Lepisosteus oculatus: one gene and its partner. The protein of the gene in region 1 purifies or fractionates together with the protein of each later gene. This does not show direct contact. Links are inferred from orthologs where the notes say so. Each region holds a gene or a part of one and is shown in the gene's direction. Other genes may lie near its edges.

Region 1 (8,012 bases):
CGCACAGATGTTTACCGCGATGGAATCCGACACAAATGGCGCCTGGAATGTTAATGCCCAGACTGAAGGCAACCCTCTGTCTCCCAGGCACCTTTTCAATTTGTAACTGACTCACGGCCTCCAGAAAGTTAAAGGTCTATCTAATGACTTCCGCTAAAGTTCTCAGTTTCACAGCGGACAAATCGTTTCCCTCTGCTAATGACGGGCTGCAGGCATTGGGGTTTTTCACAAAAGGGAAATTTCCATAATTTGAATCGAATTGATAGGGCCTGGGAGGCAGGGAGAGATTTGCCATACGAGGTGCTTGTGACCTGCTCTGCACATGCAAATCCGTGCAGATGGATCTGACCTTTTCATGGGAGCTGGGTTACAAGTCGGCTGATCCAGGGGTGTTGTGCTCCAGGGTCCTTGGGCCAGAGGCCCTTTGGGAATTTAATCCGGTTGAGCTATTAATTCAGAACAAGAGAACAGTAAGAAAGGTCACGAATGAGAGGAGACCACTGAGCCTGCTGGCTGGATTATCACCACAGCCCAGAATCTCCTCTCATCCTGAGGGATCTTGCACACACACGTCAGGAGTCCTGACACCAGCCCTGCGTCTTTGCCAACCTTGGACGTGGGCTCTGGACGGCATCCCATAATTTCCACAGAGGCTCTCTGATGCCTCACCTGATTGTCTTGGCTGGAGGGAGTGACTTACATTGACTTTTGTGGACATCTTGCAGGATTGTCAGCAGCTGGATCGAGACAACTTGCAATTTCCTCTGCCTGAAGACCAAAGATGTCTCCCCCATCTTAATCGGTATTCATACTTCATCTCTTTGAACTAATTATTGTACTTAATTTAACCCTTTTCCCTTGCACTCTGAGCCCTGCTTATCCATGGCTTTCTCCAGACCCTCTTGGTTAATCTCTGGGACAGCGCTGAGTATATTGCCAATATCTGAAAATCTCACATATCCCAGGATCCCTCTGCTCTTCACATTCATTACGGAGGTGTGGCCGTGGGTCTCTGATCACACAGCTGTGTCTGGTGGAAATGCCCCCTACTCTGCTCTTGAGCCAGTGGGACAGGCAGAGAACAGGTCGCCTGTCAACGATCTTTAGCACTGAGAGTTTTTAGAGAGAAAAATGACGCATTCTGTGCTGTGGAATTGACGCCTTGGCAACTTCGGCCTTTTTGTTCTGCTGTTTTTCCAACAAATCCAGGAGGCCTCCAGAGAAAGTGACTAGAAAAGGGGTTTCCCTGCTCCCTAACAGTCCAGAGCTGAGACTGCTGGACCAGAGCTGGACTGCTGCGCGATTCAGGCAGTGCCGGTCCACACAGGCGTGGGGTGGGGGTACTCGTGCTTTGCCTGAAACCCGTGGGGAGCCGAGAGACCAGGAGTAAGTAAATAATCCCGTTTGTCCCCCTCTTCACTAACACACACTGCTGTAGTGATCTGCCCCCTTATGAAGATCCTGCACCCTGCAGCTGCCTTGCCTGTAACTGCAAGCATTTTGAGCAAAGAAAGACTCTAGATGACCCAGAAAGGAAATGTAATGGGGCTTCTGCTTTGCCTTATTGTAATTTACTGTGATCTGGGCTTTTTCACTATGGTGGAGCAGCTTTTGGAGGGAGAGGGGTGCATCACTTCGGGAATGATCATTTCATGGAGAAAAGGGGGTGCAGAGCACTGTTCTGATTTTCCTTTCCTCAGCGGATGCTCTCCCTGATGAGCAGCACAATGGGACCAGTCCGCTCAGCAATGCACACGTGGAATTGGAGCAGGTTCAGGGCACAGCAGTGTGCGGTCACACTTAAGGCTTCTGGGCTTGTAACTAGAGGATTGCAGGTTCACATCCCTGCTGGTACACTGCTGCTGTACTCTCAGGCAGTGGTCACCAACGTTAAGACTTCAAAGCCATTAAGGTGGGCCTGTTGAAAGAAAGGTGAATGGACAACAGCCCCTAAACAGGATAGCGATGATGAGATAATGGAAATATTGCCTTGGTTCCGGGAGTGCTAGTGCTGTCCAGCAGTGTTATAGCACATTAAGCCTGGAAGAGTGGTTAATGACACAAGCCTGGTGACTGGGCTGCTTCTTTGTGTGCAGGGGTTACTGTTATCATGATCACATTGTGCAGCAGCAGAAACCTTATATATTAGTATCCCTGGTGACCCCTTTGTAATTTCACTTCAAATGAACAAAAAAATCAATGTCACAGTAAAGATTAGATGTCATAACTTTACTTCGGCACAGAATGAAACCGCAGGTCGCCACTGATTTCCCAGACTAGCACTCATCTTTAAAAATGACATTTCCTCTGCGAAAAAAATATTTTTTTTGGGGGGTGGGGGGGTTCGATTTCCATTTTATTTCCCCGTGTTTTGAGTTGGACCCTTCCGTTTCCGAGCCTCCAGGCTGGGCCCAGCACAGTTTACACAGCGATACCGTTCTGGAGGCAGAGGCCTGCACAGCAAGTGGCGCCAGAGGAGCACCGCTTATAAAGAGCCGTACCTCCCCGCCGTGCAGTCTAATCAAAGTCCTCACAGGGAGAGCGGACACGGGAGATAAGGCGTACTGTAAATACTGCACATAAAAAACCTGTAAAACCAATATTTCCTTTTGTGCAACAGAGACTGGGGCTAAAAAAACAAAACAAGTGAAAGGCAACACGCCTGTTTGCAAGGAGTGGGAGCGAAACTCCAAGTTGACCAAAGGCAATGTCCGATATCGGCAGGATCACAACACAGCGCGTTGTTTTGCGAGGATGCGAGCAGTTACACGCCATTGCTTTGGACTAATAGAACCCGTCTGCAACAGGTTTGAAGCGAGTGGTGATCTACAGACACCCGGAAAGCTGGCCTGATCGTGACCCTGGAGGACCAGTGTTTCGGACCCCTGCTACAGTGATACGCACAGACAAAGCAAATGGACGCCCGTGTTAAGGCACCTGCTTTTTCTGGGTTCACTCGAAACCCTGGGTGGGGCTCAGTTCTATGTGCTGCAGTGTTTACACATGACACAGGGAGGATCTGCCTTTTGTTTTGTCCGATCACGTCCCCTTTCAGGCACAAAATCTGATTCACACTGTGTCCAGTGCTACTGCATTGCTCACCTTTTATCGCCCTTCCTAGTATTCCTTATCCTGTTCCCTCTGGATCCGGAACACAAAAACAATAGGAAAGATCACAGACAACAGGGGGCAGTTCTGTCCTTCTAGCACGATGGGTTCCTTGTAGCTCACTTGATCCCAGGATTTCTCCTGGGAACCCAGGTTGTTGGATTCAACAGTATGGAACCAGTGGCTTGTTCCACACTCCCACCACCCTTTGTGTAAAGCACATCTTGGTTTTAAATGCACTTCCATATAGCTTTCCTTTCCTCCCACGTGCTGTGGAGCTCTAGTTCTGTTTTCTTCAGCGCTTCACCTCAGTTCTCCCCTGCCTTGCCACGTCCTTCAGCCCTCAGCGTTTTGCTGCACGGTGTCTGTGCCCACCGCTGCTCTCAGCATGAGCTGTGGGTCGATAGAGCCTGGGAAAAGCTCACAGGACACCGTGCGGGCTGTCTGCGGAAGAAGTTCGGCTCAGAGCTCCAGCCCCACAGTTACCCAACATAACACTAGAGACGAGGCCATTCAGTGTGTCAAATGTGTTTAACACACGTGTTTGTTGCCACTTTTAATGTGACAATCATTCTCAAGAAAGAGGATTCACCCCCACTCCTAACTGTGAACTTTGCTAGGGTCTTGGAAAGATACCACACAGATTTACCCGACTAAAAGTTCACAACACTTCAAGTGAACACTGAGGAGCTGTCTGACTGTTCGTTTTTAACGAGGGGCTTATTTTACATGAAACGATTGAATAACATAATAATAGTGAAATGTAGCGCTCTCAGGTTCACGTGGGTATGCGCCCCTACCTGCTACCGCTTCAGGTCGGTCCCCCAACTCGAACCCGGGCCTCTGGTGTCACTCCCCATGGACCCAGCCGGTTGAGCCAAAGGCGAATCGATCTCCCGTCAGCCCGACAGCTATGGTCCCTGCTATTCACAGAGAAGGGCGGTGATGTCGCCGCGCTGGGAAGCCGGCTCGCACAACCTGTACTGGGTTTGCAGGCAGTTAAAGGTGTTTTTTTTATTTAAGAATATTGATATTTTATTGTACTGCTGTATTGTACAAATATTGTACAATTCGGAAAAAGAGCATTTATTTAGAGTAAATTTATTAGCCATTCTGGGTAAGTTTCACATTCATAAATCAAAATGGTCTAATAATACTCCCCTTTTTTGTACTTTTGAGGTGGAGTTGAAACTATTTAAATTCTATTTAAAAAATGAGAAATAATAAAGCAAGGAAAAAATATATATAAAAAAATACAATTTGATCCCATTATCTACTTCATTACCTCTGGCGGTTAAATGTTTTTTTCTGTTTGTGTTTTTTTCTCTTGTACCTGTTTCTGATCCTCTGGTTGTAGTTGTATTTGTACATTCTTTATACGTTTAATAAAAAATCATTTCAACAAAGCAACCTGCAACGCCGGCCATATGCGTTACAGAAATAATAAAATTAAAATTAAATTTCAAATAAAAGTGATAACAAAAGGTAAAAATAAGGAAAAACAGCCTAGTCTCAGCAGCTGGTGTCTTCTTTTTACGAGATATTGCTATTTCATTCATATCCTTTTGACCACGACGGTGATGGTTCCCTCTAGTGGTACAAAACCTGGACAATATACTGAATTTACAACAGAGTTTAATGGAATGCACTGCCACCTATTGGATAAATATCGAAATTACTCCTGTAGCTATAAGCCATCACCAGCACTGATCCTACACTTTGGTCATTCTACAAAATCATTGGTTGGTTTCCATGTCCGTTTTAAGACCATGGGCTATTTGATTGGCTACTCCTCGACGGAAGTTCAGGGGCGGAATCTTCTCTCATTGGTTAGAAAGGGTCGCTCCAGCGCTCTGATTGGTCTATAGTTCCACATGGGGTGACGTGTCAATGTCGGTGTAAATACATGGCTGTTCTGGGCGTCTGTCAGTCAGCTTGAAGAGAAATAACCAGTTCAAATGCTGATTTTAATTTAAAAAAGAAGCTACATAAAGTACAATGGAGGTATTTTAAGAGTTTGGGATCTGTAATTGTTAATTCGTCAGAAACTAAATAATATAGATACGCGAGGCATATGTATACATTAAGAATTTAAGCAATACAGTTATCTGTTATGAAATTGTCTTTAAAGCTGATGTTTTTTTTAACTGAAAGCGATAAAAATGTAACGAGGAGCTGAGAACAACACTTTTTTAATAACCTACTGGGTCAGGGATTATAGTTGTTAACTCAAATCCGCACGGGCCTTTTACAATAATGAAACTGCATGTGGTTAAGTTGTAATCATTACACTGTTGTTGAGCTTGATTTCAACATATCTGCTATCGTTTATTAACACAGGAGAGTCTGTTACTGGACGTTATGGTCCTTGTGTGACTATAACTGACACGCAAGGATACTGATGTCCAGACTGTGTTTTAAGGCTTGTTTTACCTTCGAAAAGTAAGTTTTTAATCTTTTTTACAGGACTATCAGAAGCTTCCTATTGACATCCAGACCAGCAAGCTCCTAGGTAATTATTCCGGGACAGTCCAGGCTCTTGTTAGTGATGTGTTGACTGTGAGAGTTCTCTTGGATTCTGATTGGGCAAGTTCATATCTTTCAGAAATAGAAGATAAACTGTAGAACTAGGGTGTACATCAGCAGTGTTTGGGAGACACATTAGCCACTGGCCAGTGCTTTTATCAGTACAACCATCAGGCCCCTCTACAGATTGTAATAAGGAAACAGACATTGTGTTTTTAAATGTCTCTGTTTGCCCATTTTATCTGCAATAGGGTCATAGGGATAAAACATTTAACAACTGGAATTTATGAGCCTGAAATGGTTTAGGGGGCTATGCAAAGGGTGTTTTATTTCTGTCTCTCTAATTATAACATGTGATATGAAAGAACTATACAGGTTTACCAGAACAAGTTTAGTTCTCCATAAACTTTCTCAGAACAGGATTTAATTAAGTGTTACTATTTAATTAAGTGCATTGTTATTCTACAGTTTAGGTCGGTTTTAAGCATGTTTGATTTAAAATTCATCCTGGTGGGACGGTGATGTTTGGGGAGGGCAGACAGAGTCCGAGGAGGGCGGGCGAGGCCTAAGCCAGCAGCCATATCACCCTGCAACTCACAACTGGCAGCCCACTGAAGCCCAGCAGGGTTTAGCCTGGTCAGTACCTGGATGGGAGACTCCTGGGAAAAACTAAGGTTGCTGCTAGAAGAGGTGTTAGTGGGGCCAGCAGGGGGCGCTCACCCTGCGGTCCATGTGGGTCCTAATGCCCCAGTATAGTGAGGGGGACACTATACTGTAAACAGGCGCCGTCCTTCGGATGAGACGTAAAACCGAGGTCCTGACTCTCTGTGGTCATTAAAAATCCCAGGGCGCTTCTCGAAAAGAGTAGGGGTGTAACCCCGGTGTCCTGGCCAAATTTCCAATTGGCCCTTACTAATCATGTCCTCCTAATAATCCCCCTCTATGAATTGGCTTCATTACTCTGCTCTCCTCCCCACTGAGAGCTGATGTGTGGGGAGCGTTCTGGCGCACTATGGCTGCCGTCGCATCATCCAGGTGGGGCTGCACACTGGGGGTGGTGGAGGGGATCCCCATTACCTGTAAAGCGCTTTGAGTGGAGTGTCCAGAAAAGCGCTATATAAGTGCAAGCAATAATTATTATTATTATTATTATAAGCTCAAGACCTGTCTTCAGCCGCTGTGTGTGTGTGTGTCCTGGCAGACTGGCTGGTGGACCGGCGACACTGCAGTCTGAAGTGGCAGGCCGCAGTGCAGAGCATCCGGGAGAAGATAACCACCGCCGTGCAGGACATGCCGGAGAGCGAGGAGCTGCGGGAGCTGCTGTCCGGCTCCTGTGAGTGATGGCCCGTGTGCCCTCCCGGACCTCGAGCACCATGAACAAGGGAAACTGACACGTATCTCCGCCAGCAGCGAGTGCTTATGTGTACAGTACCTGCATATTTAAATCTGTCACTTCGTACTGTCCTGTTGGAGAACAGAATAATACTGTGCAGAAAAAGGAAAATACTATTCTGATTGACTGTATAGCTTGTGTGGGTTATTATTAATTAATTATTAGCTCCTCCTCCTCCTCGTGTGGCCACCTAGTTTGTGTGGCTCTGCTCTCACCTGGCAGCCGCTCATGTGGGGATTGAGGCAGTGTACACACGCTCTGACCCCACCCCTGCGTTCCTGGAACGTCTCGGGGGTCACAGTGCTGTGGGAACCTCCCTGCGATGGAGAGACTTTGTGTCTCTAGTTTCCACAGCTGGCGCGTGCCCAAACCACTGTGCCGGGTCACAGAACCGTTACTTGGCCAGAGAGTCACCCACAATGTCTTTTCTCCGTCTGGTTCCAGACATCCACTATTTCCACTGCCAGAGAATAGTGGAGATCCTGAAGGACACAGAGGCATCTTCAAAGAACATATTTGGGAGATACTCGTCTCAGAGGATGAAGGTGAGGAAAAGAGCTCGTCCTGGTGGAATGGGCTTTTGTAACACGGTGCAGGATTTCCCTGCTTTCCGTTGGCTAACAGTAGACACATGCTCTGGGTGGATGCCGGGCAAATTCTTTTCTGGTGATATGGCCAGCAGCCATATCACTCTGCAACTCCCAGCTGGCAGCCCACTGAAGCTAAGCAGGTGTGAGCCTGGTCAGTACCGGGATGGGAGACCTCCTGGGAAAAACTAAGGTTGCTGCTGGAAGAGGTGTTAATGGGGCCAGCAGGAGGTGCTCACCCTGAGGTCCATGTGGGTCCTAATGCCGCAGCATAGTGACGGGGACACTATACTGTAAACAGGCGCCGTCCTTCGGATGAGACATAAAACCGAGGTCCTGACTCTCTGTGGTCATTAAAAATCCCAGGGCGTTTCTCTAAAAGAGTAGGGGTGTAACCC
Region 2 (6,826 bases), on another chromosome or scaffold:
AAAATAAATGTAAAAATCATGCAATCCATTGAACATTCACACTTTCATTAAATGTCAAACATCTAAAATATTATACAAAAACTAAAACTGCGTCTACAAAATGGCAGAGATGTTTCCAGGATTTGACTGGTCACCACCTGGACAGCCCTACCTGGTGTGTATATGTCGCCTGTGTTCGGGTTGGTTAGGAAAGGCAGGAAGTCATCGATGTGACTTCGCATGTATTGAGCAGTGCGACCTCGGAGCTGCTCCAGGCTGTAGGAGCCGCCTCTCTCCTGCAGCTGGTCCTCCACTGCCCGGTACATGCAGTGCCCGTCAGAGGGGATGTGCTTGATTTGCAGCTGCCTTTCGGCCAGCATCTTGGAAAGCTTCTGCTGCTCCAGGTGTCGGGATCCTGAGAGGTTCTCAATTTCAGCTTCTGCAATTCTGGTCTCCCGCTCCTTTTCCAAAGCTGCCTTCTTGTCCTGGAGAGATTGAAGGCCATTACAGCTATTTCTAACTACCAAGACAACAGCCTTAATGAAATGACCCCAAAGAACTTCTCTCGTTTCTAACCCTTCTTCTGCTCTTATGAAGGAAAACCACAAAACTAGACAAATTGTAGACATTTACAAATGAAGAAAAAAAACACTTTATGATACCCAGTCCTTTACAGGATTTGCCTGTGCTCGCAGAAATTGCTTGACACTGATGACAAACGTTTCCATATTTAAATTGAAATACTTCTGATGTTGGGCACAACCCCTCATCTCGGAAACAAAGCACCTGTTCTCACCCTTCTCTTCTGGGCTTTGGAAACTCGAGTTTGCTTAACATCTTTTTGCTCTTCACTGTCTAAGACCAGGTTTTCTAGTCCATTAGCAGCCACGTCTTCCTGAAAAACACAAACAATTTAATACAGAATAATTTACTGAAATAAACTCTTGACCATATGGAATTCCGAATGCAACCAGAACCTTACCAAATTCACACACACACAGAGAAATTCTGGTTTTTTGCTGCATTGTGCACGTTTTGCATCACTTCATACTACAGTCCAAGACACAAATGAACAACATAAGGTACTATAAACTACACAAAACAGTGTTTAAACGGGTATAGTCAACCAGCAATAATATACATACAACATAAGCAATAATTAAAAAATAATTAAAAGTAATGCACAATGCTGCAGATAAATGACTACATGTTAAGTTTGTGATATTTTACAGAATCATACAGATTTATCCACGACAAGGATAACATGGTAATGCAAAGTCAAACACACTGATTCATACATTATACTCTTTGACAGCTTTCTGTAAAACTGTGTGTAAAAAAGTGTAAAAACAGAAAGCTACAGGCGACCTAAGTAAAAATTGAATCGATAGTAACTCGTTTGTAGGGATGTACCTACCGTGTCTGTAGCCACAGTATCCTTCAGCTGTTTCAGCTCTTCTTCGTGTTTTTGTGTCAGCTCAGCTTCCAGCTTTGCGATTTCTTCAGTAAGCTGTTTTCTCCTCTTTTTGTCATTCTTGGGCACAGCGTTCTTCATACTCTGGATCTTAGCTGTGTAAAAAGAGGCACACTTTACCATGAAGACTGAAGTCATAACAAAAAGCGATCAAATTAATTCAATTCAAAATTAACGCCCACTAAATCGCATAACTCTTTTATTATAATTAAAGGTAATGGAACAGTCTACGTTTTAAAACTGTGTTGGCGACAGTGTTCATAACACAAAAAAAACGATTAAAATTACTCTTGAGGCAAAACAATTCTCATATATAATGACTCACAATGTTTTCGAAGCTATAAGCAAGCCCCGGTTTACAGTTCTTACATGAATCCTACCACAAACCAAAGCCTTACCATGCAAGAAAGCTAAAACTGATTCTATTTAAAGATATTCAGATTAAGCTCTGCACAAAACAACTCACTAATTCACCTTGTAAATCTTTCTTCTCTTTCCGATGCTGCTTACTAATAAGCTCTTCTGCTTTTTCCACTTCTTCCATATTTCCTTTTGGGTTTTTAATTAATAATCAGATCACAAGTTTGCTAATCAACACCATGCTGCTAGCTTCTTTCCACTTTCACCTCTCCTCTCGCAAAACTATTGGCTTAAAGATGTAATCACATGGGACACATTAGCCAATAAAAATGGGTAGTGCGTGACGTAGCGTCTGTCGCAGAGATTTATGGGTACTGTAGTGTCAACAACAGGTTATCTAGTGGCTTGAGATCGTCAGGTCTTTAAAGCAAGACTAAAAGGGAAAACGAGGTTAGTGGACAAGTGTGCAGCCCAGGGTGTTTCTCTCTTCTGTTCCCGAGGAACCCCTATTCTAAATTACCATTTCTAATTTCGCCATGTAACTCTTCTGGCTGCTTGCTTAGACTCAATCAATTCAATCAACCAATCATTCAAAGTTTATTATCAAATACACAACAGCACAGCGTGCAGCAGTAGTTGCTGGCAATGGAATGTCTTTCCTGCGAGCACACCGGGTGGATAGAAATCACAAAATTAAAGTTACAAAATTAATTTTACATAATAATACATAACAGTGCAATAGAAATCGAATAAAATAAACTCAGAACTCAGGCTGTATTCCTCCAATTACTGCTTAACCATACACTTTATAAAGAGGAATTAAAAGGTATTTTCAAATGACAACTTTATTTCAGATGGAGATAATGATGCGCAAAGGGAACCAAACTCTTGTGCAGGACGTGTCTATTTCTAATACATCTCACTGGGGGGGGGACATTGCAAACTAAAAATCGTCATATGCTGAACGCGGAGACAACTGGGTTTTGCATTTACAGTATCTTTGCGGAATCCGCTTGGAAAGGCATTTTGTTCTGTCTCGCTGTGTGACGTCTGCGTTTGAGAAGACACAGGCCGCTCTTGATTCCGAACGCGCTTCGTCATATGACTACCACGAGACCGGGTCCAACCACGCTGCACGGGGGTCCGTGACGTATTTCCTGCTGCTGGAGGCTGGAGGTGGGAATGTGCTGGTTGCAACTTTTCCAGATGTTTAAGGCTAAACGTGATCCTATAGGGTCTTTATAACAACATTCTACTATTTTATTTTAATTGTATTTATATCATTCTGTTCCCCTCCCCTCAAAAACTTAATAAAATACGGAACCTGATTCGAACTTTTATTCCAAGGCTATCGAAGTCGTACAGCTGTACACTTCAGATAACCAAATAATACATTAAAACCCCTAAAACTTTTTTTTGCTGGGATGGAGAGCGGGACTGGATATAAGACATGTGATCAATGTAATGGTGAGATTAAAGATGAAAGAGAACAAGAAGCAGCAATTCTATACAAACATACTGTACATATAAAACACGAGAGTTTAATTTCCTTGAGAGTTTAAGGTCCTTGTCAAGGGGTACGTTTTTTTAATGAACAACCCCGTTTTTTTCTGTTTTACTAACGTCTCCTGTCTTTCAGTAGTCCTGTACAGAGGTCCCACTATATACAACCACTGCCTGTTTAACGCTCTCTGTTGACCGATGCTGATTTATTATAAGCGTCCTGTACACTGTAGATATTACATAGATATTCTTTATATATATACACATTCTAACAGAAATTAACTGTAACCACTCCCGTTTTTTAATTCCATCCTTTTTGTTTATTCACAATTCTTCGGGCTCCGCCGAGAAAGCCGTTCTGCGCTGTTGCATCACGTCACGACACGACGCATCATCTGAGCCCAAGTCATCTGCGAAGACTGCGATTGGGCTGGGAGAAGTCCCGGACAGGAGCGTTGCGTTACACTAGCGCAGGATTCCCGTGCTCATTCCCACGTTTCCCTGGCTTATCCCCGGCCGCCCCCCCGCCCCTTGGCCCCGCCTCCAAACAGCTGCCCTTGCTGGGTCTGTGCTGTTCATGACGCATTGGTCCGCTTCCAGAGAAGCGGAGGAAAACCTACGGGCGCTGTTGTTGTAACTCTGCGGCTGTCAGGCGATACCGCTTGCAGACATGGCCTCGGAGACGGTGGATGAGCGGTCTCCCTTGCTGTCATTGCCAGACTCCGGTAATGTCACACCTACAGCGCCGCCGTATCTGCAGGACGCCAGCCCGAGAGGTAAAGCCGGCGCCGTGCGTTCGCCCGTGGCGTTCGTGTTTTCACTGGGGTGTGTGGTGCGGAGTTGTTGGCGTTTGGAGACAAAACGAAGAAATTGTAACGGGCAAGGGCATCTGCGGATAACCCGACCGGTTCACATGAAAAAAGGTGGAGCTGGAAGCGGAGCTCAGTAATGGAATTAGCTCTAGTCCCTTGTATGGGGGGGCCTATAGACGTATATATGTCTTAAAAGCCACAAAAGCCGGAGTCTAATGTGAAAATTGTGTCCCTTCACGTTAGAAATAGCACAGTCATGATTTGTTTATCAACCAGAATCAATGTTGTTGCTGGACGTGCCGGAGTGATCGGTAATCATTACACCGTGAGGGCCTGTTTTATCCTTGCTAAGGGCACAATTCTATTGTGTTGTGCCTTCCAGCTCCAGCACTGGGATTCCTGTGCTGGCGGTGCTGTTCTTTGACACAGCAGGATAGAAATGCTGCTTTTACTTTTGCCCAGACCTATTCAGGGCCTCACCTTCATTTCCCATGATAGTTCAATAAGATCTTTCATTTTCTTGAAGCAGTATCATTTAATTTCAGAAATGATTTATTTTTCCTTCGGGTACAGATGGGTTATGATTTCATATTTGCCTTTCATGAAGTTTTGACATTAGCATCCCGAGAATACCCCAGTAGCTTCAGTGCTGTAAATGAGCTGGATTAAGAAAACATTGAATTCCCAAATGTGCCAACAAAGTGGCTGTCAAAACCATTCATTTCTCTTAGACCCTTTCACATTTTATTCTGTTACAACATGGAATCATATTGTATTTAATTGGGATTTGTTGCAGTGGTTCAACACAAAACACTCTGTAATGTCAAAGTGAAACAAAATTCCACAGTTTGTCCTACATTTGTCATTAATATAAAACACAAAAGGGCTAATTGTGTAAGTACTTATGACCCTTGAGTGAATATTTGGTAGAGGCACAAATTACCACCCCGAGTCTTCTTGGATAAGTGTCTCTACCAGCTTTGCCCATCTGGACACTGCAGTTGGTGATCGTTGTGCTTTGCAAAACTGCTCAAACCCCCCCTTGAGATGGATGGGGACTGTTGGTGAGCAGCCATTTCCAATTCCTGCCACACATTCCCGATTAAAGATTCAAAGGCTTTGACTGGACCACTCCAGAGCTTTGGCTTTTTGCTTTGAACCACTCCAGTCTGGCTTAGGGTCATTGTTATTCTGCAAGATGAATCTTCTCCCAAGTCCATGGCGTCTGGCAGGCTGCAGCAGATTCTCCTCCAGGCTTCCTCTGCATCCATCTTGCCTTCTGTCTTCACAAGTCTTCCAGGCCACGATGCCCGGGAGAATCCTCCTAGCATGACGCCAGCACCACCATGCTTCACTGTAGGGATAACGTGTGGTGTTGTGCTTACACCAAACTGTGCTTAGTGTTGAGGGCAGTAAGGTCAACTTTAGTCTTACCAGACCTTCGATTCCTTTTTCACCTCGTCTCTGAGACTTTCACGTGACTTCTGGCAAACTGTTATTGAGATTTGATGTGTTTTCTTTCCAGCAATGGCTTTCGTTTAGCCACACTCCTATGAAGCCTGAATTTGTGAGGCACATTGTCTGTTGTTATTGTGTGCATAAGTGCTTAAGATGCTTAGAGTTGGATCCCCTCTTACTGTATGTACAGTTTTGGGCTGAAAAATGCGAGATTAATGCTATCAGCTGTAAAAGAGAGTGTAAAGGCAAGATGAGAGTGGGGGGCGTTCAAGTCATGTGGTTACTGTTATACACTTGGCTTGTTGAATTGTGCCAGTGAGTTCCTCACATTCCTTGGATTATCATTGTTTCATAACGTAAGTTGGGGTTTTTGTAAAACCAAATAATAATACTTTAAAAATATAATTCAATGGAGGATAAGAAACACAGCACAAACATTTTGGTAATGCTTAAAATGTTTTTTTTTGAAAGAGATCATGCTTTGCTGTGCTCCCTGGGTGCACTTTATCGAGCTGATAGCGGAGGCACAGAGTATCCCATGTAACTGGGCTTCAATGTTAATGTAAAAATACGTTTAAATGCGTATTTGCAGGGGAAACCAGTGCTTGATATAGAAATTCCCATCATGAAAAATTGCACATAAATAGTATCTTAAAGAAAGGACAATATGCTTGCTGTATTATTTCTTGTTTATTAAATGTACCCTTATTAATTACAGTTTAAGATATTTCATATTGAATTTTGGTATATTTTCTCAAGCAGGGGGAATGAATCGCATGTTTTTAAAACTGTGAAATTTGGAAAAATATGCTGTAACATTCATAGTTAAAGAATGAATAACCAACATATCAGACTTATCCTCTTTCCAGTTGAAAGCCCCTGTTTTTACTTTATTTGTCATTGTTTTTTTTGGTAGTTCTTGGGGAATTGGGGAATCTTCTCCAGAGCTTTAATATACAGTGCCAGTGCTGCTCCAAACGTGAGGTGCTTGGGAACTGAACAGACCCGACAGGTCAACATAAATACAGGCTTACTGACTCTGACTAGCTCTGGTGTAAATGAAAGGAATAGGATAATGTCTTCTTTAACTGAGTAGATGGGCTTTTACAGATCTGTATCACACTTGCCACTCAGTAAGACCTGTGTTTTCACAGAATGTTTCATTTGTGAAATGTGCCATGGCTCACCTCTGCAGCAGTAGACTGAAAACATCGACGGGTTGGTAGGACAAAATGCCAGC

What was found.
Region 2: the proteins of cdk5rap3 (region 1) and pip4p2 purify together in Homo sapiens (affinity purification with mass spectrometry; 3 studies listed by BioGRID and IntAct, counting the BioPlex papers as one, with this or other methods). This does not show direct contact. The link is inferred for Lepisosteus oculatus from reciprocal best matches to the Homo sapiens genes CDK5RAP3 and PIP4P2.

Annotation. Positions count from the first base shown.
Region 1 is NC_090723.1:8,876,965-8,884,976, forward strand, and holds the start of cdk5rap3 (CDK5 regulatory subunit-associated protein 3), read left to right. Parts: upstream 1-4,993; 5' UTR 4,994-5,106; coding exon 5,107-5,112; intron 5,113-5,574; coding exon 5,575-5,620; intron 5,621-6,835; coding exon 6,836-6,967; intron 6,968-7,471; coding exon 7,472-7,572; intron 7,573-8,012. UniProt on the Homo sapiens protein: Substrate adapter of E3 ligase complexes mediating ufmylation, the covalent attachment of the ubiquitin-like modifier UFM1 to substrate proteins, and which is involved in various processes, such as ribosome recycling and reticulophagy (also called ER-phagy).
Region 2 is NC_090705.1:6,916,991-6,923,816, reverse strand, and holds the start of pip4p2 (type 2 phosphatidylinositol 4,5-bisphosphate 4-phosphatase), read left to right. Parts: upstream 1-3,825; 5' UTR 3,826-3,986; coding exon 3,987-4,092; intron 4,093-6,826. Other genes in the region: deubiquitinase OTUD6B, read right to left, coding at 152-464, 776-874, 1,397-1,548, 1,928-1,997. UniProt on the Homo sapiens protein: Catalyzes the hydrolysis of phosphatidylinositol-4,5-bisphosphate (PtdIns-4,5-P2) to phosphatidylinositol-4-phosphate (PtdIns-4-P).